4 linked regions of the Saccharomyces cerevisiae S288C genome follow. The gene in region 2 interacts genetically with the main gene of each other region. Each region holds a gene or a part of one and is shown on either strand. Other genes may lie near its edges. The genes, in order: YGR050C, SMA1, DAL2 and GRC3.

Region 1 (2,927 bases), on a different chromosome or scaffold from region 2:
AGCCTTGGTACTACGTATTTCCTGTAAATGAATGCAAATGGATCTTTTTCAAACTCATCGAAATTTTTTAGATGCTGAACCTTCTTTGATTTGGAGACTCTAAAAAGGCAATCGCCGAACATCAGATAAAATATGGTGGCACCCAATGACCAATAGTCAGCTTGGTATGTGTTATACAATGGAGCCGATGACCGATCGAAATTCTTCTTAAAACAAGAGTTACTAACGCGGCCAGAGAAAGTTTCTGGCGCCCTGTAATTATCGGTACCAATCTGGAAGTCGTTAGATTTAGGGGATTGGATAGCGTGACCCCAGTCTGCCAACTTGATGTCACCATTTATCGTTAGCAAAATATTTTCTGGTTTGATATCACGATGAGCAATACCCAAGCTGTGAGCAAAGCTGATTGCTGAGCACAGTTGTTTGATTATCTTTTGCATATCAATTTGAATCAAAGATGGAGACGACGGGCTACCTTGACTCTTAGCAATATCTAGAAAGTCATAAAGATCACCACATTCGCAGTATTCTAGCACCATGATGTAGTACGAGTCATCCGTGTAAAAGTCGAGCATCGAACAGATGTTGGGGTGAGGATTACAAGAACTCAAAATCTTCATTACATCATACTCGTTCTTCATGTTGGCTTCTGAAGTTTTGTATTTAGGAGTAATCTTTAAAGCGACGTAGCGGTTATGTGTAGTACTCCATGCTTTATAAACTGTGCTAAATGTTCCTGATTGTATAGATCTTAGTTTTGTATACATTTTTGCTTTTTATTATTCGGTATATGCTGATAATGATGTGCTTATTTAAATGATTGCGTATACGAGTGAGAATTTGATTCGGAGGGTATGAGAGTCGATCTTGAGTCCTATGTTATATGCTTTTTGTCAGTAACGGGTTATTTAATGCTAAGAATAGTTATTATAAAAGGGAAATTTTTTTGTATTAAGAATAGTCATCACTTACATGTGTATATTATATATATATATATATATGTATTGTACTCGTATTATTATTCTTTGGGGAAAGTATTAGTAGGTAGATGCAACTAAGCTCCGATTTTTCCAAAATTAAGTTGTCCCTTATTGCATGGTCCCCTTAATTATCCTTCCTTTATTGTATGTAACATGAAGCTGCATTTTTGTTCTCAGGCAGCATCATCGTTCCCTTCACCTAACCCTTCTAACTTCCTTTTACCTGTTGCAAGCTGTCTCATACCCGCGCTGAAAAGGCTGAGAACTGGGTATTGTCCCAATATTACGCTCGGCTTTTCTTTTCAAAAACTTTGTATTCCAGATACTTCCATGTGCAATTTCCCTAGTGCTCCCTGTACCAAGCCATCGGAGAGGAGATGCCTTCTAGAATTCAAAGCACGTAAGGGGTACAAAAATCGGAACGGGCCGAAGGCCGAAAAGAGACGGCCGTACGTGAGAGCACATGCAAAGTGGTGAACGGGACGTTACGGAGAATTACGGAACCTCTCAACAGAAGATGCGCCAATAGTCCTTCCGAACTAGCTCCACGGGAGGGGTATGAAGAGCAAGCTTGTTTACGCAGCCTCACCACCGCACCGAAAGACCCTCACGACAGAAATGGAGCGCCTTTAATGACGTTCGTCCGCTGCGGGCCAGAACAGCACAGTTTTGCTTCCCCGTTTCTTTTCCACTATTTCGTCACCCGCTCGAGGTGGCTCGCCCGCTCGGAGGCAAGCTGCACATTCATCGAACACGGAGAGGCACGGGCGAGAGAAAAAAAAGCCTATTGACCTAAACGGATGTCATAATGAAAAGAAGGAATCCGGTTTTCCTGGGCATGACTAAGGTAGCACGACTCAACTGGGCCAGATCGGTTGCTTCTTCCGATATACATGCATTAGATTAAGCCAAAGTAAAATCAAAAGAAAATTTAGCGGATATGAAAACCAATCTAATCTCCTCGTTTGCTTTCCGACCGCATGTAAGGTTCGGCTTTCTTGACTTCGGATATAGCTTAAAGTCGATTCTTGACGTCACTTCGCAATATCATTTCATTCCCATTAAACTGGCGTATGGACTTTGCGATCCTTTATTAATAGTTTATCCGGATCCCAGTTTTAGTTTGGCTCAAGCTGCAGGTGAAAAGAAAAAAGTCGTATTCCCTACGTATGAAGATGTTCCGAAACTACTGTTGACGTTTAAGCAGATTATGAATACGTATAGGAAGGGAAGTTTGGGACAGAGACAGAGACAGAGAGTGTACGGGCGAAATGGGAATGAATCACATTCTACGTAATTTGTCTTTGACTTTCTTAGAGATACGTATATAACTTTTTTTTCTGTGTGAAAAATAAATATTCTCTTATCCAATGTGGACAAGAGCCAAAAATACTCTGCTTTGTATATTTACTAGTTTTTTTGGCCTTTTTTTTCGCTAAACATATATATTAGTCTCGCTTAAATAATTGTGATGTTTGAAGGGAACGTGTCACGTGCTTCGTCGTTCATGCTTTGAATCCATCTAGGATACACTTACCAAAGGTAAAAATTGTTATACCGGTTACAATGCTCATGTGCAATGACATGTATGAGTGACATTTTACGCTTCTTTCGGATTCAGGTTTTAATGTTTTGGCGTTGTTCATCTTTGAGAATGGGCATGCAGCTTCCCCATCTTTGACTTCCGGGTGATGTTGGGGTAATTTTTCATCCTTTTGCTTTTCTAAATCATTTTGGTCACGTGTGCATTTTGGGGCTAGCTTGTGATTGAACAGTGATACTAAGTATAGGTAGGCTGCAGATAATGGGGCGACACCAAGTCCGCACAAAAGGTAGTTTGGTCTTTCTCCTGGTGCAGCTAGATAGTAGCTGAGTCCAAAGGCACCAGTAGCTAAACCACCTAAAACGGTGCTCCAGCATCCTAATGTGCACAAAACATTCTTCAAA
Region 2 (3,135 bases):
CAACAACAGCAAGTCCAAGAACAAGAACAGGAACAAAAACAAGAACAAATACAAAACCAGGAACAAGCACAACAGCAGCAAGAAGAGGAAGATGCTGAACCGGAGAGTGATATTCCATCAACGTATAATAGTGACGGAAGTATGGAAAAGTATGAATACACTAACAACCACAATAATAGTACCTTTTTAACTTCCTCAATGGACAGTACACCTTACCAATCTGATATCGATGACGTTAGTGCTTCCAAAGATTGCAAATTCCAACAAGATACATTAAGAAATAGGCTATTATGCTTACAAATGAATTTTTCTACTTTAACAGACGGTCCAAACGAGAAATGGTTACCAGATTATTGAGCAGGTCTCACCTTTATACTCACTGTATTATCTTATGTTCTAATTCGGTAATAGCTTCACCTTTTCTTTTTATCTTTGAGGTTTGTTTTTTTTCTAGTATCCTACTAGGATGGCTATAAGCAATGGCTGGAACGATTTTCATACTTTTTTTACGAACTTACGACTTTTCAGTGTCTTCTTTGATCAAAAGGAGATCACTATGGATATATATGTCCTACATAACTAATTACAATAATGATAGAATGACAGAACTTAGTCACTTTTTTTGTTTCTCAGCCCGGCGACGGCGCATTTGAATGGGTGGAAATCTTCGCTGATACCAGGTTGACAGTCTTATGATACGATTTTTTCGTCCTTTGCTTCCCCCGCAATAACCTTGCCTTTCCTCTATTTGCCGCGTTAGTAAAAGACCTTTCACAGCATCTGTAAAGTTCCTTTAATCGCATTGCAAAATACCAGGGCCTAAATGGAACTTCCTCAAACTGTCTTTCCAACCTTTCTAAGGGGTACATAAACTTTTGATATTGGATTTCCATCGATTCCCAAGGACTTCTCTTTATTGGACATTGCTTGCCTGTGACTTTTATAGGCGGCTTATAATATAGCACAAGGTCGGGCAAGTAACAAAATACAGCACTTCCTCCATTCTTATCAGGGTAGTAAGAGACTGAATCCCGAATCTCTTTTTCATTAATAACAATTTTGTTTTCTTCGATTTTCATGTTCTTGGTGGAAGAAAAAGTTTCCAACCAAGAATTGAGTTTATGTAATAATGATTCTGGGACAGGTGGCAATAAGGTAACACCCTCTCTTTTTTTCAATTCCATTTTATGATTTGCCGTTTCAGTTCTAGAAGTTTTCAAAGCAGAGTTTCGTTTGAATATTTTACCAATGGATTTTGAAAATCGTTTACCAGCACTAAATTCATGCTTGGATCCCGAATGTTGGAACAGGTGCTTAACACTCACAATTTCGGGATATTTATTAGGACCATCATTAGTACATGCCATTTCCTCTTTCCTCGCCACCAGATTTTAAGGCAGTTGATGTTTGCTTCCAAGGGAGAAAAGGAACTTATAACGGTTAAAATTAATAGAGCCTGAAGAGAATGAAGGCAGCCAAGACATTGATTAACATCCTACAATTGTAGAGCAGTCAAACGAGTTAATACCACAAATGTCAGTAATTAGTGGAACTTGTGCAAGTATCACCCGGCCAGCTTGCCAAGGCGGAAAAGTAAGTCAAAAGGCACACCTCAGCGTTTGAGTACCTGAAAAACGATGAATCGCAAATAAAACTTTAAATTATGCCTGTTATACATAAAGCCATTTATATATTTATGTATTTTATGAAAAAGATCATGAGAAAATCGCAGAACGTAATCATATCTTTTCAATGACAATAGAGGAAGCACCACCACCACCATTACAAATGGCGGCAACACCGATCTTACCTCCTTCTTGCTGTAAGATGGATAGCAGTGTAACAACCACTCTAGCACCAGAACAACCCAATGGGTGACCTAGAGCAACAGCACCACCATATACATTAACCTTAGATGGGTCTAGCTTCAAAATCTTAGTGTTCACCAAACCGACAACCGAAAAGGCTTCATTGAATTCAAAGTAATCAACAGAATTGATGTCTTCGATGCCAGCATGTTTCAAAGCCTTTGGAACTGCAAGAGATGGAGCCCATGTAAAATCAGCTGGTTGATGAGCGGCCTCACCCCAACCTTTGATAATAGCCAAAGGCTTCAAATTCTTTTCCTTCAAAACTTTTTCGGAAACCAAGATGACGGCTGCAGCACCATCGTTGATTGGAGAAGCGTTAGCGGCAGTAACAGTACCGTTTTCTTTTTGGAAAACAGTCCTTGCAGATCTCAATTTTTCAACGTGTAATCTAGCAGGTTCCTCGTCCTTCGTGACTTGAGTATCAGGCTTACCTCTAAATCCCTTAATGGTAACAGGTACAATTTCATTGTCGAATTTACCTTCCTTTTGAGATTTTTGAGATTTTTGGTAGGATTCGATGGCAAAATTGTCTTGTTGTTCTCTAGTAATATCCCAATCACGGGCACACTTTTCTGCGTGTACACCCATGGCTAGACCATCGTACGCATCGTTCAACCCATCTCTTTCGACACCATCAACAAGAACAGTTTGGCCAAATTTGGCACCCGCACGGGCTGCTGGCATGTAGTATGGTGCGTTAGTCATAGATTCACAACCACCAGCTACGACAACATCAGCATTACCACATTTGATGGATTGAGCACCCAAAATGATTGCCTTCATAGCGGATGCACAGACCTTGTTAACTGTGCTTGCAACGATATGATTACTCAAACCGGCAGCCAAAGCAACTTGTCTGGCCGGAGCTTGGCCCAAATTGGCAGAAAGAACGTTACCAAAAATAATTTCGTCAAAATCCTTGGATGCATCCAATTCTGGAACCTTAGCCAAGGCGCCTTTTAAAGCAACAGCACCCAATTCCACTGCTGTCTTGGAGGATAGAGAACCCTGGAATGAACCAATTGGGGTTCTGGCAGTCGATACAATGTAAACGTTCTGAGACATTTTGAGTACGTCTAATCTGTATAAATATATATGATATGGCGCTTGTTTTAGGCTACCTTTTTTCAGAGAACTAGAAAACGAGTAGGCTTAGCAGTGCTCTTAATGGAAGCGCTTGTTCCTCTTTTATATATTTTACTGCCCTTTGCTCAACGGTGGCCTATCAACCTGGCCACGAACGTGTGGTGGGCTAGTAGTACCG
Region 3 (3,837 bases), on a different chromosome or scaffold from region 2:
TCAATTACTTATATTTCTGGCTGGCAGACTGTTTCAATATTAACACATGGCAAATAGCTGGTACAGGTCTACAACTAGGTCTGAATTGGTGGCAATGTTGGCTTACAGTTTGGATCGGCTACACTTTTGCAGGTATCTTCGTAGTATTGAACTCGAGATTTGGTTCCGCATATCACTTATCTTTCCCTATTACTGTTAGGGCCTCATTTGGTATATTCTTTTCTATGTGGCCGATTATAAATCGTGTCGTGATGGCTATAGTATGGTATGCCGTGCAAGCCTGGTTAGGTGCAACGCCCGTGGCACTGATGCTAAAATCTATTTTTGGCAAGAATCTGGAAGATAGAATCCCAAACCATTTTGGTTCTCCAAATAGCACTACTTTTGAATTCATGTGTTTCTTTATATTTTGGGTGGTCAGTATACCATTTGTCCTAGTGGCTCCTCATAAAATCAGGCATTTATTCACAGTAAAAGCAGCTTTGATCCCCTTCGCAGCCTTTGGATTTTTAATCTGGGCTTTGAAGAAATCGCACGGTAAAATTGAGTTGGGGACGCTGAATGATTATTCACCTCATGGTTCCGAATTTTCATGGATATTCGTTAGATCCCTAATGGCCTGTGTTGCTAACTTTGCCGCTTTGATTATCAACGCCCCTGACTTCGGTAGATTTGCCAAAAATCCTCAAGCGTCTTTGTGGCCACAATTGGTTGCCATCCCATTGTTCTTCGCCATAACATGTTTGATCGGTATCATTGTTACTGCGGCCGGTTATCACTTATATGGGGTTAACTATTGGTCACCACTGGATGTACTTGGTCAATTTTTGGAGACCACTTACACCAGAGGTACTAGGGCTGGTGTGTTCTTGATTTCTTTTGTATTTGCCTTAGCTCAACTGGGTACAAACATTTCTGCCAACTCTCTGGCATGTGGTGCTGATATGACGGCTTTGTTTCCAAGATATATTAATATTAGAAGAGGTTCTTTATTCTGTGTGGCAATGGCTCTATGTATCTGTCCATGGAACTTAATGGCCAGTTCAAGTAAGTTCACCAGCGCTTTGGGTGCTTATGCAATTTTCCTTTCCAGTATTGCTGGTGTCATTTGCGCGGATTATTTCGTAGTAAGAAGAGGATATGTGAAATTAACACATTTATTCCTGGCACAGAAGGGTTCCTTTTACATGTTTGGAAACAAATTTGGTGCCAATTGGAGGGCCTTTGTTGCGTATATTTGCGGTATCGCTCCAAATTTACCAGGTTTTATAGGTGATGTTGGAGCTCCAAAAATTACGGTTTCAGAGGGTGCAATGAGGTTATACTATTTAGGTTATCCGGTAGGTTTCTTTATTAGTGCGGTGATATACCTCATATTATGTTACTTTTTTCCTGTCCCTGGTACTCCCGTAACCAATTTTCTGACAGAGAAAGGATGGTTCCAAAGATGGGCTTATGTTGAGGACTTCGAGCAAGATTGGAAGAATGAGTTACGTAGGGATGACCTCTGCGATGACACAGTCAGTATCTATGATGGCACCGAGGAAAAGATAGTTTACTAAATAAAAATCCCAATTTATTCTCTTACCAGTAGTGATCAGGAGAATTGATAATTTCTTCAAAACACCTTAATATTCGTTCTGTGTATTTTTATGTACCTTTCTTAATCAAATTTATCAGCTTCATACATGCATTCCCGTCTGAATAATGTACTGATGATTAGCTAAACCGTCATCAACCTACCAAACTTGCGCTTGTTTGAGCCTATCAGAACTCCGGATAATTCCGACATCTTATCTTTGACTCGAATTAGCGATAAGATAAAAACACAGGAACCACAATGAAATTCAGCTGGAAGAAAAGTCTAAATTATAGACACATTTTCTGAGATCAAATGCTATAAAGGAATGGAAGTGCATTTTGCTATGATATGGGGAAATTATGAAGCCGATCAAACAATTAATTGTATCTAATCGGTCTCTTCTTTAGAAAAATGAAGTTTTTTAGTTTGGCAGATGAGGCAGAATTTAAGTCAATAATCATTTCAAAAAACAAAGCAGTAGATGTTATAGGATCTAAGTTAGGTGGTCAAGTGGTTTCTTTTTCAGATGAATGGTTTGCTTCTGCTGAAAATTTAATTCAGCCAACTGCTCCTATAAGGGATCCTACCAGATTTGTTCATTCAGGCGCATGGTACGACGGCTGGGAAACACGAAGACATAATGAGATGGAATACGATTGGGTTATCATCAAGATGGGAGTCGCTGCTGCCCATATTATTGGTGGTGAAATTGACACTGCGTTTTTCAATGGTAATCATGCACCATTTGTATCAATAGAGGCGCTCTATGACGAGGGCGAAGAAGGTAATATAGTGGAAGATGACTCGCGTTGGGTTGAGATTGTTGAGAAATTTGAGTGTGGTCCTTCGCAAAGGCATCTTTTCGTTAGAGGCAACGGCCTTACTAAAGAAAGGTTTACTCACATCAAGCTGAAGATGTACCCCGATGGAGGAATCGCCAGATTTAGATTATACGGAAGAGTTGTTCCTCCAGAACTCAAAACGAAGGATCATATAATTGACTTGGCTTATGTTTGCAATGGTGCTGTCGCTTTAAAGTATTCTGACCAACACTTCGGTTCAGTTGATAATTTGCTACTGCCAGGTCGAGGTCATGATATGTCGGACGGCTGGGAAACCAAAAGATCGAGACAACCAGGTCATACTGATTGGGCGGTAATTCAACTGGGCAGGGAGTCTTCTTTCATTGAGAAGATTATTGTTGATACGGCACACTTCAGGGGGAACTTCCCTCAGTTCATTACCGTGGAAGGTTGCTTGAAGGAGTCAGAATCAAGTGAGAACACTGGTGAAGGAACATGGGTAGAGCTAGTTGGTAAGTCAAAGACGGGGCCTGACAAAGAACATGTGTATGAAATACGTAAGAGTATAAGAGTCTCCCATGTCAAATTAACGATTATTCCAGATGGAGGAGTGAAAAGAATAAGAGTTTGGGGGTACTGATAAATACTTAACTACTGTATATTTTAAACCAATGCACTCTTGGCACTTTAAAAGTAAAGGTATAAATGTAGTTAAAAGTTTTTGTTTTGATAATTGAATGTTTTCATTTCGCTATCCCCACGCTACTTTATTTACTTCTTCTTCTTCACGACAAAACATTAAAATTTACACTCTATAAAAAACAATCATATTTCTATTTATTTTTGTGAGTTGACAAATCTTATCATAGTGATTAGAATCTGTAAACCGATCTCAATCGTGTCCAGAAACAGCGTGCCATCCCTTTGGAATGTTTTCGCCAGTTTATTTTGCAAACCCGAGAATCCTGCACAACCTAATATTACAATGTCTGAATCAAGCTTTTTAATATTTTCGCGATATATAATTTCTGCTATCTGCTGGAAATTTTCTGGACTATGTAGGTCGAGGACCTGTAAATCAGTAGATACCGTACCTTTCCATAAATTTTTGTTAACTGTATTCCCTGTCAAGAATTTCGATTCCACAGAGTTATTCAATATTGGAATCCATTCTTTATTTGAAGTAATAATAGAGAACTTCTTTCCAACCAAATTGCAATAATTAATACTACTATCTAATAACCCAACAATAGAAACATCTGCTTTTTCTTTAGCAGCTCTATCCTTTATCTTTGCTACCAAAGGATGATCTGAAAAACAGGCAATTAATATCCCGTTGAATTTCTGAAAGTAATATACCGACTCCTGGTCATCAATTAAGAGGGGAAGACAGGCCTCCATACTTTTAATACTTGTTTCCTGCCCATCAATTTGTGGTGGCGACGTGTCTGG
Region 4 (4,533 bases), on a different chromosome or scaffold from region 2:
TGTCTTCAGAATAGCGGCAATACCACCATCTCCGCATACCACGTCCATATCAGTGAAATCGGCAGTGTCGCTTTGCAAACAGAGGGCGCTCTCCTCGTCTTTAGTCCAATTTTTTGTTTTCTTGTCAAATTTGTATATCGTCAGCGAATTGCTCTCGTTTGAGTATGCAATCATATTCTTTCCAGAGTCGTCAATGTCATAGGTAACGGTGCCCGTCTTGAATTCTGGGATTGTGTAAGTTGGATACGCTAGCGTGCCGACATCCTTTCTTAGGTCAAAGCAAACCACAGTTTGGTCACACTCTACTACCATCCAGTACCCATTGTCTGCAAATTTAACCTCTTTTATCTTGGCTTCTTCATCTACGGGGAATCTAGAGCTTGCCTGGTCAGGTGATGACAAGTTGTAAACGTCTAATATACCGTCCGGAGAGTAAAGGGCTAATAATAATGAATCCTTATGTAGGACACCGCTGCTGTACTCAACATCTGATTTAGCAGAATGAACAATATACTGGGAATCATCCTCGTAGGATTGAAATCCTATGGTTCCTCTATTATCCGCCCAGATGAAGTACTCTGTGTTGACCTCGTTGTGACCATACATATATATAATCTCATTGGCGGAATCTACCTCTATTTCTCTGAGGACTTTGTTTGTTTTTGAGTCCAATATAGTTATTTGGTTACCTGGATATAGTAGTAGCAAACGATTACAAGGCCCTCTGGAAATAATAGCTGGATGCTCTCCCCCGGTACGGGGATTTGGTGTAGTTATTGTGGTAATCGTTTTCGAATCTTTTAATTGGGTAAAATGTAAAGCACCATCCTCACAGCGACACATGCACACCCATTTATCATAGTACATAGATTTGTTAAGCTCTTTATATGGGAATGTTTTGATGTTACGGGAGTAATTTTGTGCCTGTAATAGCTCCAAATTTTTTAAAATCGGCCATTTGGGTGCTTTGAGCTTGCCCCTCGCTACAAAGTCTCTAGAAGATTGTAACAGCCCTTGTAAAAATTCTTCTCTCGTAATAGCTACCGCTTGCTGTGAGGATTTGGGTAAATCCTTCGAATCTTCGTTTTTTTCCATCAATAGTTGCGCAGCGACCAACTTTGCAGCATCTCTTTCGTACATTACAGTCGACAGTTTTTTCGTTAAACTATCTAGAGTTGATCGTAACTTAAAGTTTTCGAGCATTATAGCATCCCATTCATTCTGTAAACTTGTCAACAGATTCGGAATCGAATAATTCGCTTTTAACGTAGCAGAGTTTGTAGACTCTGTTAGTGAGGCTTGTTGCGCACTAGGTACGATTTCCACTATTTCTTCGATGCTTAAGGGCTCATTTGTTATCGGATCATTCCCCGTATCTTTAACATACTGTTCAAGGAGCGACTTTTCAAAAATAGTCCTGGATTTAGGTGATAGAACTGGCCTTCTAGGAACTTTCCCACTAATAGCACAAAGCATTGTTCCCTAGTTGGCTTTCTTGGCTATGTTTTGGTCTTTAATATTTCTTGGAAAGTTTGCATCTTTCTAAAATTGCCCTTACGAATTTTTCACCGCTGCTACCCGAAAAAGTACGAAATTTATCAACATGAAATTTATTCCTGCCAAGTCATCGAGTGCTCTGCGCCTAAGGCTTAGGTTGCATTTAAGTTGTCTTAATTCACGCTTATAGTGCAGGTAGTATAGGTTCCCCACTCCTGATCTTTCCCTTCTGAAATAAGGAAAGACTGCAGTTTAGTTTGGCAGAGAGAAGAAGATAATCATTTCTATTATATTCTACCGCTATGGTGATAGATTCCAAACAGGATCTACCTCAATATACCAAAGATTCAGGTTCAGAATCGGACTCAGACTCAAGTAATAATTTCATTGTGGAATCTCCGTCAATTCCATCTTCAAAAAGTGCAACCGTAGTTCTCAATAGTGAAGAGTATGAGGACGACGAAGGTGATGACTTGAACGGGCTGGATGCTGAATTGATCGATAATATAACGTATGAAGGAGATGAAGATGAAACTATGTTTGTGGGGTTGAAAGAAAAACAGAAGTTACATTTATCTGGTGTTTTCCGGCTGCAAGTGGTGAAAGGAGGTATTGTCTACAACAATGTACACTATAACGCTTCGAGAGAAATTTTAACCTTCTGGCACCCGTTATCACAGTCCATACCTACTATAGATTTTTCGCACTTTGCAGGCTGGCAAGACACTTTTTTTATGCCGAGAAACAACAGGTTTAAAATTAGAGATGAAGAATTCAAATCATTTCCATGTGTTCTTCGCGTTTTTAATTCTAATCATACGGGCTTGTTAGAAGCAGGTCATTTATATCGGGATGTTAATTATCTATGGAAACCTAAAGAACCTTACTTTCCATTAAACGAGAGAACAACGTATCATTTATTACATGAGTCAGACCGAATTCAATCTTTATCCGTGCCGGGATATTGGTCAACTCCGTTAGAGAAGTTATATTTGAGTCACAAGAACGCTGCGTATGATACAAGAATCATGGTGATTGGTGGTAAAAACTCTGGGAAGTCTACATTCTTGAGGCTTTTATTGGAAAAATTTACGCAAGATATACGAGATTCTACTACGAGCCAGGAAGAATTGGTATACCTGGATTTAGATCCTGGTCAACCTGAATACTCACTACCTGATTCAATATCCCTGAATAAGATTCTTTCCAGCCCTATTTCTCTCGGACAACATCTCTGCCAAGGTTCAAATTTCCAAACTTTGTTACAGTTCTACGCTGGCTCCTCTTCCCCGCAGGACGAGCCCACATCATACCTGAACTGCGCTGATAAACTTATAGACCATTTGGAAGAGCAAGCCTTCTTCGGAACGTCATTGCTTAATCTACCTGGGTGGATAAAAGGATTCGGGATGCAGATTTTAAATCATATAATAAGGAAATATAAGCCCACTCACTTATTGTTTTTGGAAACAGCTAATTCGAAAAGACACCTGGATGAACTAACAATTCCACAGAGTTTTTCCACATCACTACGAGATGCATATGCACCTGAAGTTGTTCGCGTTCCAGCCCATAGTCTGAACCACACCTTATCTTCTAGGTTCCATGCATCACAACTGAGAACATTCAAAATACTGGCACTGTTTCATAAAATAACTCAATTTGATTATGATTTTGCGCCTCTTTTAAAATCTGCACCTTTGCAAATTTCATATGGCAAAGGTAAAAGCGGTATTAAAGGCATTCAATTTCCTATGGAATTCCAGGATCTGAATCCTCAAGATATCAAGTCCGCATTGGAAGGTACTGTCATTGGGATATATACATATTCTGGAGAAGACTCACTAGAGGTGAAATCCTTGAATACCTTTCCCATCCTACAATCGTGTACTTCTTCTTCTAAAAATTTCATAACTCTGGGGCTGATACACTCTATTGACACCTCCCAGCAAATAATGAACATTTACGTGCCACCTTGCCATACCCAGATTTTAGATAAACAACCTGAGGATGCTCAATGGATAATAGTAAGAAATAAGACGGAAACTCCTTTTTGTGACTTTCTTCCATCCCCCCGCACAATTACATGGGATGATAATATACAAATACCGTTCGCAACTTTTGAAAGAAGGAAAAAATTGGAACATGTGTGGAAAGTTCGTAAGAACGTCATGAGACGTGGCCAATTCATGAAAAGATAGAAAGAAAAGGTAATCGTACATTTTTTAATAGTGAAAGATAGAGGATACACAAAAATCATGCAAAGTTTTATATATTTGTTATGTATACTCATATTCCTTCAATATCTAAGTCATACTAACTTCTAGGGACTTTACCAAAATATTATTTATAAATTTATTGTTTCATTTCTTCCGCATCCTTCATCTCCTCCGTTAAACCCATTTTCTTATTTAATCTATCATATTTCAGTCTATCTTTATCGCTCACAGAGGGTTTAATCTTTCTTAATGCACTTCGGAAGTCAGACATGGTCACAATAATTTCTTCGCCAGATACGCCAACCGATAGATCCTCAAATTCCTTGTCTAAGTCATTATCAAGAACAGATTGTATTTCTTCGCTCTGAAAAAACTTCCTTTTTAGAGCCAAGACTGAACTCTCCCTGACTAAAGCAGCCAAGTCAGCGCCTGAAAAATTGTTGCACTTCTCATTTCTGATAATTTCTTCAAAATCAACATCGCTACTCAGAGGTGTTCCGTGTGATTTGGTCAAAGTTTTGATAATATCTAGTTTTTCCTCAGTATTAGGTAACTCAATAAACAAACTCTTATCCAATCTGCCCGGTCTTAACATAGCAGGATCAATCATATCAGGTCTATTAGTGGCGCCAATCACAAAAATTCCCCTTCTATCGTTCAGCCCATCTAATTCCGTTAACAAAGTGTTGACGACTCTTGAGGAGGATTCGGACAAAGAAGTATCTCTTCTTGGCACCAAAGCGTCCAGTTCATCAAAAAATATAACACACGGTACAGACGCCCTTGCTCTAGTAAAAACTTGTCTGATGGACCTTTC

The links.
Region 1: mutations in SMA1 (region 2) and YGR050C together harm fitness more than expected from each alone (negative genetic interaction), as found in Saccharomyces cerevisiae (one large-scale study listed by BioGRID).
Region 3: mutations in SMA1 (region 2) and DAL2 together harm fitness more than expected from each alone (negative genetic interaction), as found in Saccharomyces cerevisiae (one large-scale study listed by BioGRID).
Region 4: mutations in SMA1 (region 2) and GRC3 together harm fitness more than expected from each alone (negative genetic interaction), as found in Saccharomyces cerevisiae (one large-scale study listed by BioGRID).

Annotation. Positions count from the first base shown.
Region 1 is NC_001139.9:591,436-594,362, reverse strand, and holds YGR050C (uncharacterized protein), read left to right. Parts: upstream 1-1,920; coding exon 1,921-2,277; downstream 2,278-2,927. Other genes in the region: protein kinase FMP48, read right to left, coding at 1-767; SCM4 (Scm4p), read right to left, coding at 2,486-2,927.
Region 2 is NC_001148.4:497,897-501,031, reverse strand, and holds SMA1 (Sma1p), read right to left. Parts: upstream 1,368-3,135; coding exon 630-1,367; downstream 1-629. Other genes in the region: putative serine/threonine protein kinase SKS1, read left to right, coding at 1-357; ERG10 (acetyl-CoA C-acetyltransferase), read right to left, coding at 1,740-2,936. UniProt on the Saccharomyces cerevisiae protein: Involved in spore and ascus formation. Required for the efficient assembly of the precursors of the prospore membrane to a continuous prospore membrane.
Region 3 is NC_001141.2:408,814-412,650, forward strand, and holds DAL2 (allantoicase), read left to right. Parts: upstream 1-1,993; coding exon 1,994-3,025; downstream 3,026-3,837. Other genes in the region: DAL4 (allantoin permease), read left to right, coding at 1-1,562; DCG1 (Dcg1p), read right to left, coding at 3,223-3,837. UniProt on the Saccharomyces cerevisiae protein: Utilization of purines as secondary nitrogen sources, when primary sources are limiting.
Region 4 is NC_001144.5:66,781-71,313, forward strand, and holds GRC3 (polynucleotide 5'-hydroxyl-kinase), read left to right. Parts: upstream 1-1,799; coding exon 1,800-3,698; downstream 3,699-4,533. Other genes in the region: E3 ubiquitin-protein ligase PRP19, read right to left, coding at 1-1,476; putative AAA family ATPase RIX7, read right to left, coding at 3,853-4,533. UniProt on the Saccharomyces cerevisiae protein: Polynucleotide 5'-kinase involved in rRNA processing. Required for the efficient termination by RNA polymerase I and the processing of the IST2 pre-rRNA internal transcribed spacer localized between the 5.8S and 25S rRNAs.